2 linked regions of the Macaca mulatta genome follow. The protein of the gene in region 1 interacts with the protein of each later gene in a pairwise test. Links are inferred from orthologs where the notes say so. Each region holds a gene or a part of one and is shown on either strand. Other genes may lie near its edges.

What was found. The genes of interacting proteins can lie anywhere in the genome.
Region 2: the proteins of GMCL1 (region 1) and PAX4 interact in a two-hybrid assay, tested with the Homo sapiens proteins (3 studies listed by BioGRID). The two-hybrid records come from large-scale screens. The link is inferred for Macaca mulatta from reciprocal best matches to the Homo sapiens genes GMCL1 and PAX4.

The regions. Positions count from the first base shown.
Region 1 is NC_133418.1:54,921,970-54,927,860, reverse strand, and holds the start of GMCL1 (germ cell-less protein-like 1), read left to right. Parts: upstream 1-2,281; 5' UTR 2,282-2,509; coding exon 2,510-2,769; intron 2,770-5,891. UniProt on the Homo sapiens protein: Possible function in spermatogenesis. Enhances the degradation of MDM2 and increases the amount of p53 probably by modulating the nucleocytoplasmic transport.
Region 2 is NC_133408.1:167,465,595-167,471,541, forward strand, and holds the start of PAX4 (paired box protein Pax-4), read right to left. Parts: upstream 3,858-5,947; 5' UTR 3,679-3,857; intron 3,121-3,678; 5' UTR 2,995-3,120; intron 1,750-2,994; 5' UTR 1,653-1,749; coding exon 1,640-1,652; exon of another isoform or gene 1,258-1,639; coding exon 1,127-1,257; intron 822-1,126; coding exon 606-821; intron 287-605; coding exon 211-286; intron 1-210.

The DNA of each region.
Region 1 (5,891 bases):
AGTAAGTAATACATCCAGTCAAAATTCCAAGCTTGATTTATAGTTGAGGCTTCTTCCCTCACTTACTTCTGGCCTACTGCCAGTAGGAAGCTGGTTTCTGGGGAAAGGGTGACCATGGGTTTCTCTTCTTTTTCCACCTAGGTTTCCTTCCACGTTCTTCCCCTGCCCCAACCTACCATGTCTGGGCTGTAGCAGAGCAGAGAGTTAAGGGGAGCAGGAAAGTTGTTACCTGACTGTCATTGCTGTAGTGGTAGAGGATCAGCCCTGCGTGACTCTGACAGACTGAAGTTGATTCTTGTGGGCATTCTTGTGGGTTCCTTTGTCGACCTCATCATGCTACTCACCTGCGGTTCCTTTGGCAAGGCAAATGTGTACTCCTTTTTCAGCCTCTAGGAATTTGGTGACTCTTTGAGGTTCTCAGTGCTGAAGTTCATTGCTTTCCTCCCAGACCTGTTGGGCAGGACCCAAGATGATCCCATCCCAGCTATCTCATGGTGGTCCACATCTGCTCCATGGGAAACACCTGCACGTTCTTTGTGCTGGCAAATTCTGTGTATGCAAGCTGATCCCTCTGCAGCCATCATTCTCTGCCTCCCACCTCCACCCCAAGCTGCCTCGGCTAGCCTCTCTCAGTTCAGATTTCTCATACATGAATCAGACATTAGTCCACTGGGGCCCTACGTATACTGCCGATGGGAGTCTAAATTGGTACATTGATGCAATCAACCCAGAGAGCAATTTAGTAATAGCTAACAAAGTTGCAAATTTCCCAGCAAATTCACTTCTGGGAATCGGCTTGGCGAATCCATTGCACATGATGTTCATTGCTGCTCTGTAAGGCCGTTAAAGTAGAAATAACCTCTCACGGCCGGGCGCGGTGGCTCACGCCTGTAATCCCAGCGCTTTGGGAGGCCGAGGCGGGCGGATCACAAGGTCAGGAGATCGAGACCACGGTGAAACCCCGTCTCTACTAAAAATACAAAAAATTAGCCGGGCGCGGTTGTGGGCGCCTGTAGTCCCAGCTACTCGGGAGGCTGAGGCAGGAGAATGGCGTGAACCCGGGAGGCGGAGCTTGCAGTGAGCCGAGATCGCGCCACTGCACTCCAGCCTGGGCGACAGAGCGAGACTCCGTCTCAAAAAAAAAAAAAAAAAGAAATAACCTCTTACTAAGGAATGTAAAAACAAATATGGTTCAGTCATTCAATGAGCAGTGAAAATTATCTAGCAATTGACCAAATGGACAAATCTCGAGAGTATAATTTTGAGAGGAGAAAGGTGCACAGTGAGAGGTACAGCTATGATTCCGTTCCATGATATGTCTAAACATGCAAAAGAAAATATGGGTACGCATATAAGGACATACATGGACATAATAATATACAACATTCTCAGCACAGTGATTGCCACTGGGGAGGGAGACAGAATGAGATGGAGGAGGTACACAGGGGCTTCTGCCTATCTGTATTGTTCTATTTAAAAAGAATGAATCATTGATTACACCTCAATAAAGCGGAGAGGAAAAAAAGAATGAAACCAAGTATGATAAAATTTCAAGCTAGTGGTGGGTCCACAGGAGAAATATTTTTATTATTTTACTTAAAAAGTAACAGAAGGGAGTCAGGGAGTGAACGCTCGCTGTCCGGAGTCCATCACAAGAGCAGCTCCTCCAGGCAGACACTTGTCAATTTTGCTAGGGCCTCCTGAAGGCACTTTTTTGAGTACGGACAGTCATGGTGCCAGACCCTATTCGGACATCCCACTGGCACTTGATAGGAAAGAAAAGGAGTGCCGGGAACGTTCCCATAACTTAACGGGTTCCTTTCACGTCTACAGCAGGGTAGGGCTCCAGTTAAGGAAGCCCAGGAATCCAGCATAGCGCCTCATCCTAGGGCCCCTCTCACAGGAGGCCACGCCCAACAAAGCAGAGCGCGGCCCCAGCAAGCGCCGAGCTCCCGCAAGGAGACCAAATAGCTTCGGGGTTTTGCCACTTGCTTAGCACAGGCCCATAAGCACCGGGGGCTCAAGGCACCTTTGTAGAAAGAATGCGCGACTGAAGTTCCAAGTCTTGCCACTACAAAGGCGTGTGTGAACTACGGCTTAACACTGCGTCTACGCCTAAGTTCACGTTAGTTGGAAGCCAGCCCCACCGCAAGCCCGAAAACACCCGCCCGTACGAGCACGCCGCGTTGTGCGCAGGCTCCACCTGCCACGCACGCACGCCTGCCTTGCCCCGCCCCTTCCGGAGGCTCGCCACACGCATGCGCCCGCCGGCGCGCGCTTTGTTACGAAAGCGAGGGGGCGAGGTTCTGCGGTGCTAGCGCGCGGAGCGACCAGAAGCTGCGGGCGGGGCGGAGGATGGAGGCTGTAGCGTCCGCTGCAACGGTTGGGGCTGCGCGTGAGAAGGTGGCGGTGTAGGCATCTGCGCTCGGGGAAGGCTGGCGGCGGCGGCCGGGCCATGGCGGGAGACCCCCTTCTCTGGGCTCCCTGAAGTCTCGGGGAGCCGTGACCCATGGGATCGTTGAGCAGCCGGGTGCTGCGCCAGCCTAGACGAGCCCTTGCCCAGCAGGCGCAGGGTGCCAGGGCGGGGGGCTCGGCCCGGAGGCCGGACACTGGAGACGATGCGGCGGGCCACGGCTTCTGTTACTGTCCGGGCAGCCACAAGCGCAAGCGGAGCAGCGGGGCCTTCTGCTACTGTCACCCTGACTCGGAGACGGATGAGGATGAGGAGGAGGGGGACGAGCAGCAGCGGCTCCTCAACACCCCTCGAAGGTACGTGGGGGCACGCACTCGCGCGGACCCGGACCCGCACCTGTTGGGCCTGGGGCCGAGCCGGCGCCCGGTGCGCTTGCGGGGTGCAGCGCTCCCCAGCCTATGAAGAGGGGTCGTGCCCTTGACAAGTGAATGTGGAAGCCGGCCCGATGCCGGGCGGACGGGGGAGCGCCTTGGGAGACGCCTGGTGTTCTGCATTTTTAACCACAGACGCTTCCAGGGTGTTGTTACAGCCCCAAGATGAGGATGAGAAACGCCAAGCCCGAGCTCGCGTCTCGTTAAACCTTAGAGACGCCCGGCTGGCTGGCCTTACCAGTCCACCTTTGCCCTCTCAAGTGGGTAGCCGCAGACTAAGTTGTTTTGCATCCGGTTGCTTTAGTACAGACACTAAATGTAATCTCTGAAATGGGCACTCTTACTGTCGCCCACTCAGTGGAGGGGAAATAATTGCACACAGGAGTTCTCGTTAATCGTAAAGGTGAAGTTTATCAATAGTGTACATTTGTTCCTAACCAGGAACAGAGTTTGTGCAAGTTTCTAGCAGTTGATGTCGTTGACCGTGGATGTACTGTATGTAGGGCGGTGCTGCTGCAGCTTGCTTAACTGTTTTTTTTTTTTTTTTTTTTTGATGAGTTGAAAGATGGAATATTGACTTGTGACCTGGAATTGGAATGTAGTTTATGGGTAGAATATATTCTTACACAAACAATTTGGTTTTTCTGCTTTTGTTTTTAAAGGTGATTTGGTAGGGTCACAGATGAAATTTTTTTAATGATTTCTTTTTCTTTTTTTCTTTTTTTTTTTTTTTTTTTGAGACGGAGTCTTGCTCTGTCGCCCAGGCTGGGGTGCAGTGGCCGGATCTCAGCTCACTGCAAGCTCCACCTCCCGGGTTTACGCCATTCTCCTGCCTCAGCCTCCCGAGTAGCTGGGACTACAGGCACCCGCCACCTCGCCTGGCTAGTTTTTTGTATTTTTTAGTAGAGACGGGGTTTCACCGTGTTAGCCAGGATGGTCTCGATCTCCTGACCTCGGGATCCGCCCATCTCGGCCTCCTAAAGTGCTGGGATTACAGGCTTGAGCCACCGTGCCCGGCCTCTTTTTCTTTTTTTATTTTTCAGACAGAGCCTTGCTCTGTCACCCAGGCCGGAGTGCAGTGGTGCGATCTCAACTCACTGCAACCTCCACTTCCTGGTTCAAGCGATTCTTGTGCCTCAGCCTCCCGAGTAGCTGGGACTACAGACACGCACCACCATGCCTGGCTAATGTTTTCTATTTTTAGTAGAGACAGGTTTCATCATGTTGGCCAAGCTTGTCTCAAACTCCCAACCTCAGGTGATCTGCTGGCCTCATCCTCCCAAAGTGCTGGAATTATAGGCGTGAGCCACTGCGCACCCAGCGTAAAATTAAACTTTATGAGCAGATTCAAAAAGGTTTTGCTATACAAGTGTTGCATATTGTAAAAAAGGAATCATAGATTAAAAACTCAATAGTTTGGTTTATAAAACCTTTTGTACCTTTTTTAATGAATATTTTTATTTATTTACAAAAATGGACCCCTACTGTGAATACTATTCAGTAACTTTTTTTGTTGTTTATTTGATTTTTGGAGTTTTTTTCTAAAGAGACAGGGGTCTCACTATATTGCCCAGGGTGGTCTCAAACACCTGGGCTGAAGCGACCCTCCCACCTCAGCCTCCCAAAGTGCTCAGATTACAGGTGTGAGCCACCATGCCTGACCCTGTAACCTTTTTGAAGAGTCAGTGTAGCATAGTTTTTTTTTTTTGGAAAATTTTTTTTCTTTTTTGAGACAGGGTCTCGCTCTGTCGCCCAGGCTGGAATGCAGTGGTGGGATCATGGCTCACTCCACCTCGACCTCACAGACTCAGGCAATTCTCCCACCTCAGCCTTCTGTGTAGCTGAGACCACAGGCATGCACCACCACACCCAGCTAATTTTTTTATTTGTAGAAACAAGGTCTCACTCTGTTGCCCACCCAGGCTGGCCTTGAACTCCTGGGTTCAAGTGATCCTCTTGCCTTGACCTCCCAAAGTGTTGGGATTACAGGTGTGAGCCACCGTTGCCAACCTGTGGCATAGTTTTAAGAGTTCAAATTCTGAGTTCTTGGCCAGGCGCAGTGGCTCATGCCTATAATCCCAGCACTTTGGGAGACTGAGGCAGACAGATCACCTGAGGTCAGGAGTTCAAAACCAGCCTGGCCAACATGGCGAAACTCTGTCTCTACTAAAAATATAAAAATTAACCAGGCGTGGTGGCGGGCGCCTGTAATCCCAGCTACTTGGTACGCTGAGGCAGAAGAATGGCTTGAACCTGGGAGGCGAGGTTGCAGTGAGCCGAGGTGGCACAACTGCACTCCAGTCTGGGTGACAAAGTGACACTCCATCTCAAAAAAAAAAAAAAAATTCTGACTTCTTGTCTGTATTCTGCACTTAATAGCCTTATTTTCCTTATATGTAAATTGGAGATATAAATACCTGCCTTTTAGGCTTTGACAAATATGAGAACAAACAAATGCACAATGTCTAGCATGTAAGCATGCAGTAAATATGTCTCCTTGATGAATTGGCCCCTTTATCACAACAAAATGTTCATCCTTCTTTATCCCTAGTAATTTAGCCACTACCACATACATGTATTTATTTATTTATTTATATTTAGTGGGTACAGGTGCAGGTTTCTTACATGCATATAACGAGTAGTGGTGAAGTCTGGGATTGTAGTGTATCCATCAGCCACTTTCTTTTGATAAATATCTGAATATCTCATTTTCTCTCCTTTCACTTTTTACCTGTGTATATTTAAAATGTATATCATGTAAACAGCATATAGTTGAGTCTTGCTTCTTTTATCCAACAGGACAATCTAACCTTTCAATTAGTAGTTAGACCACTTATATTTAATGTAATTCTTGAAATATACATCACAGTGCGTTTGAAGGAGAGAAATCACACAGCAATTTGAATACAGGAAATTTAATATAAACATTATTAACAAGGCACAGAGAATTAACTACTGAGGACAAAATGCTAAGGTAAAGAGATCTCTAGAAAATACATGGAGTAGTCAGTACTTCTAAGGCTGAGGCAGAATAGCCACAGAAGGAA
Region 2 (5,947 bases), on another chromosome or scaffold:
TGCCATCAACTAGCTGGTGACCTTGGGTAAGTCACTTCACTTTTCTGGATGTCAATTTTCTTCTGCTGGGAGAGAATAAGACTCACTGCCTGGTCCTCCTTATTGGGTTGTTGTGAAGATGATCCAAGAAAGAACGAGAAAAGGCTTTGAGAACCATAAAATGTTGGAGATTCGGCTCTGATTAGCCCTGGGGACAACTCCAAGACTCACCTGGTGACCTGAGCTGTGTCCACGGTAGTCCCTGGTCCTCCTGTAGCGCCCGCAGGACTCGGTTGATGGAGGAGACCTAGGAGTGTCGGGGTGTTGAGTGGAGAGATGGTGCTCAGACCCAGGGCTATACCCTGAGGACATTCCCCTTAATATCCTTTTTCCTGTCTGTCTCCACCCACACATTGTTCCTAAGGGCAGCCTCATCTCCCTCTCTATGCTTTCTCCTTCCCAATTATCTTATTACCACCACTTTTCAAAAGAAAAACGTATGGGTCAGAAGAGCCCAGGAGCCCTGTCACCAGCCTGGGATGCCCTCATTGCCAAATAAGAAAGGCTATTTGTCTCCCCAGAAAGCCTGTTTTCCAGCCCCATTGTTGGAAGGGAAGGGTACTTACGCTGGGAGTCTTGTCCTGGGTGCAAAGCCCTTCAGCACAAAGCTGGCGTTGGATTTCCCAGGCAAAAAGAGCTGGACACTCACCCTTCAGCTGGGCAATTCGAGCCACCACAGGGGGTGTAGCCAGCCGTGGCTTGCTTCCCCCAATGCCCTTGGGCTCCAAGACACCCGTGCGGTAATAACGCCCTAGGATCTTGCTCACACAGCCGTTAGATACCTGAGTCAGGTGAGAAGCAGGGACAGGTGAGGCACAATGGGCAGAAGGAGGGAGAGTGTCCCTGGGACAGGAGGAGGCTACAAGACAAAGCCAAGACTTACTGGACCAGGCCATGGAGTTGGGAGTCCAGCCTCACCTTTGAGGGTCTGAAGTTCCCCTTTTCAACCTCCAAGAGGGTCTGCCAGGAAGTGACCCAAGTCCCAAAAGCCCTCAGAGCCTGCAACAGCCCCAGGCTCTTGCCTTCAGAGGAGCCCTTTCTCCCTGCTTCCTGTCCCCATCACTGGGTAAAGATGCTGGCCCATTACCTTAAGGCTCCGTGAGATATCACAGGGCCGCATTCCACGGACTGCTAGCCGCACAATCTGCTGCCGGGTATCCAGAGGCAGGGGCCGGCCATTCACAAAGAGCCCCCCAAGCTGGTTCATGCTGCTGATCCCTGGGCGTGAGAGAGAGGTATCCACACACCACCTCCCACTGCCCTGCCCACATGCGGAGAGGGTCACTCAGGCCCCTCCAGCCTGGCTTCCCAACGCTGAGTGCATCCTCTCCTGGGAGACTGCATCCTTGCTGCCCCCAGGCTGTCAACGCAAGCCACTTTCTTTGAGAGCTGGCTCATGGGTGAGTCTTTGTTCCTTGCCCATAACCTCTGACTCTCCTGATCTAAGGGAAGCAGGACAGGGCAGGAAGTGAGGGACTGGAAAAAACTTCTCCAGAACATTGGCCAATGGCAGATGAAACAGTTGATGGAAGCAAAGCCCTGAGGTCTTCCCCTGTCTCTGTCGTCCTCCGTGTCTTCCCACTTCCCCCAGGCTCCTCACCGTCCTGCTGCATGCTCCAGGCTGACCCTCCTCGGAAGGATGAGACTCCAGCAAAGTAGCCTTGGAAGGGAAGTTCCTTCTAGGAGCTCCTTTTTCAGCTTGGGGGCTCTCTGCAATAACGGGGGGTTATTTGGGTGAGGTCTTTTGCTTGAAATGGTCCTGGGAGGTAGTGTTTTGTGATAGAGGGTCAGGTTTCTAAAATTTGCCAGTGACTTGGCTAAAATTAGAAAATTCTAATTCCTTTAATTTAAACCTTTGTGTGATAAAAACTAAAACACTGCAGGTTGGCTGAGGACTGGATCTTTCTTGAAGTCCTGATAAGGGGCTGGGAGGATTGAGAGGGTTCTCATTTCCCACACATTCATTACAAAAGGTTGGGGAGGTAGAAAGGGATGATGCTTTCAAAGGCTCAAGCTTTCCCCTTTCCAAATGGACAGCTGTTGTCTCCAACTGCTGCTAAGTTTCTCAGCCCTGGATGACACACCTGAGCCAGAGATTCTGGGGTCCTCAAGTTCAGGGGTCCACCTTCACTATTAGGCAGTCCTCATTTGGGCTCTCCAAAATGCCCAGCCAAATGCTGCACTTCAGAAAGACTTGCTCCTGTTTTTTTATACTCTCCAGGAAGCTCTGAAGAAACTGGGACTCAGCTCTACCCCCCAGGCATTGAGGCTCTCGTCCTACACACTGGGCATAGAGATGAACATGCCTGAAGAGCCGGCTTCTCCTAGGACGCACATCTCTTAGCATCTCTAACCTGCTGAGATTGTTCATTCCTGTTAACTCGGAAGAGTTCTAGATCTCAAAGTGAAGCTTCAATTTCAGAGACCACCTTTATGGTATCAGACACTCATTCATTCAACTAACATTTACCAAAGACATATTGAAGGGAATGGGAAGCAGGAGAGGACTGTCTGCTGATGAATACAGAAACCGTCATGAGCCCAAGAGAGTCTCTGAGCAGCAAGGGACACAGGTCCCACAGGCCACCATACCTCTTCTACTTTCATCAGTAATTAATGGGAGTTGAAGATGCCTCCTTTCATGCCTGGAACCCTGGTAGTGCTGGAGGTCACCCCAAGGAACAACTTATGCATAGAATTTTCTTGTAATAAGTGTGCCATCTGGGCTCAGTTAATTCATCTGCAGTTATATGCTGAATAAGATATTAAGCATGAGCACATTGCTGGTTGTTCAGGATGAAGGCAGTAAACAGAAAAGGGTAAAGTCTTTGCTCTCCAACAGATTACAGAGCAACTGGAGAAAGGAGACTAGCTCTGGTGAAACAAAGAATTACAAGGAGTTTGGAATCCAGAGTCTACTTATTAAGTTCAGTAGCTAAATTGGCTTTTACTCACTTGTTTCTAGGTAGGTGGAGGCACAGACCCCTTCAGATTCTCATCTTTCCAAAAGGTTGGGAAGTAAGGCAGAGGTTTTCCAAAGAGAAACCTGAGGCACAGATTGGCATTCCCACAAGTCAGGGGCTGTCCAGAGAATAAAACTCAAGGTTCAGAAGTCAGTTCCTCACCAGAGGCTACAATTTCTGGCTCCTAATCCTGGGCTCTCTTTCTCTGCTCCCGCTCCTGCTTCATGTTTGTGCAATTGCCGCAAAAACAATGGAGAGAGGAGAGTCAAGCAGGGACTGTAAAGGGCTGTGGCAAGACAGGTGAAGGAGCTCAAAATATCAGCCAAACCCTAAATCCTTGATAGGATTCAGTTCTCCTACATGACCAGAATTCAAAGGAGCAGTAGGGATGCAGGTTCAGTATCCACCTAAATAATCTTCAAACCTAAATCATTATGTCCCAACTCACAAACAGAAACCCCATTCCCAATAGCCACACCACACATTCCCAACATTCATACTAATATGTCTGAAAAAATAACTGGTGCTTGCAAGATGGAAAAACAGGAAAGCGGGTGGAAGGGGCAGGAGGGTGGTAGCCACAAAGACAGAGTGGGAGAGAAGTTGGGTTTGGCCACACAGAGGCATGGAGACAGCATAAGGGGCAGGGCAGACAATGAGCCTGCAGGTGAACTACCTTTGTGGAGGAAATGAGGTGGGAGCTTCAGTGGGAGTCTCAACTTCTGAGACCCCTGCAGGCTTCAGGGGTGGTGATGGTCTGGTCTTGGTCACAGCCTCCACTCTGCTCCTGCTTCAGTCCTGCCAGGGGGTCCAGAGCTACAGAGAGCCCGTGCTCAAGAGCAGAGGGCAGCCTTCTGGGAGTAGCCAATGATGTCACAGGCCATGAGCAGAGGAGAGAGGAGGAGGGAGGTGTGCATGGGCTGACTGACACCAGCCCTGAGGCAGGGCAAACCACAGCCAATGACCCACTGTGTCCTTCCATGGGGAATCCTCAGAGCCCACTTTGTGTCCACCTACCACCCTGAAGCAGGGACAGAGCCATTCTCATGCAGGCAAAAGTGCACCCACACAAGCACCAGTACTCCTGAAGGGTATGCTGGGCATGGAAGATGGGGAACTTCAGGTTGTGTCCTTAAGGCTTTGAATGTACAGAAACAAAAGATGCCTTCCCAAAACACCAACACACCTTCCCAGCCAGAATGCACGTGCCTGCACTTTGGGGTCAACTCCTGAGTTATGTGTGTTGCTATAAAAGATAAATGAGTATACAGACTATTGCCTAAATACTGACTGAGTTGGCTCCTAGCACTCTGAGATAATGAGAGTGAATGGAGAAGAGTGTGAAGAGTGTGTGTCGCTTAGCACCAGCTGTCCCCAGAGAGTATCCTCACCAATTCTCCAATTGACTCCTTGACTGAGGTGACACCAAGGGTGAATTCTTGCCTGGAAATGGAGGATCCTGGACTTAAGAACACTGACAATGGTAGTGGTGGTGGAAGTGAGCCTCGGGATAGTCAGAGATGCATATGGGTGTTTATAAGAAGACTTGCAGCAGGGTTTTCCTTCTTCCCTCTTTAGATGTTATCAGACTCCATTTTGTTAGGGATTTGGTGCTTTTACACTCTAAGTTAGTAATGGCACTGTTGTTTCCACAAAAGACACCACAGGTTATCTGGGTCATTGGCGAGGCAAGAGGCATCGGTAGCTGGGCAGGTGGTGCCTGTGGAGTGGGATGCTGGAAGTGAAACACAGCCTCTAGTGCATGGAAGTTTTGTTGCCAGTCATCAGGGTCTTGGGCAGATGGTCTTTGGGTCCATTCCACACCTCAGAGTCTTTGAAGCCATTGCAAAAGTCAGACTGGAAGTAAGCAGGGTGTAGGGCAATAGGACTAGACCCAGAAATCAAAGAATGGAAGACTTATTTCATGGGTAAATGTTTTGAAGTTCTAGGGATGAAAGTGGTTGTTGTGCATTCAGCTTGATCCTAAGGTTGGGAACTCTTGCTCTCAGAGGCCAAATACCACATAAGTGAGTTTTCCACTTCACCCTGACACATACTCTCTTCCTCTTCCACCCTCCTCCGGCATCCTCAGGCTGGTCTTGGGGTACAGGGGAGACTGCAGAGGGTGATTTCAGGACCTCGGGCAGGACAGCATTTGCCCAAGTGTCCTTACAGCCCATTCCATTCCCGGGCAGCTGGGGACTGCTGGTCACTCTACTTAGCCATGCCTGGGTGGGAAGAGGTCCCCAGGAAGACCTGTGGTAGCCCTGCTCTTAGTCCCCAATTCCTGCCTCATCCCTCCCCCCTAGATCTGCCCCTGCATCTAAGGGCTCCGGGCTCATGTCCTGACCGGCTATTCCTATAGACAGCTGCATGAGGGTGGAGATAGGGGTATCAGGGGGAGCAGGGACAAGCCCTGGCAGATGGTGGTGGCAGCGATTTACCCCATAAACTACCCTCTCCCTCCGCCTTTATGACGCGCTCTTGGGTCTGAACAAACAGAGGCTTTCGACCCAGAGGTGATGGGGGAGGGAAAAGTGGTAAAGGGCCCTGGCAGGGGGGCCTAGCGAGCCCAAAGGCTCTGCCACTCAGCCCTCTGCCCAGCGCGCTAGACTGTTTGAGGAGCAAATATCTGCCTTGACTGTCTGACTCTCTCAACTACCCCCACCGGGTTTGGGGCTAATTGTCCCTCATTAGCTGGGCCCAGGCCCCGGGCTGCCGCCAGCCCCCGCCATCTGCTCACAATTATACATTAACTCAAAGGTCTTGCCACCCGCCAACAGGCTGTGCGCCCCTCTCCGGGGCCAGCCATGGCCATTCCAGCCTTTCCCTCGCCCTGATGTAGAGCCCTGATCGCTGGCTTCTTCTGCCCTTAGGAGTCCCTGGTAGAAAGTTCCGTGTCTGTAGGGAAAGTCCTGTCCTCAGGAGAGGCGGCTGGAGTTCCC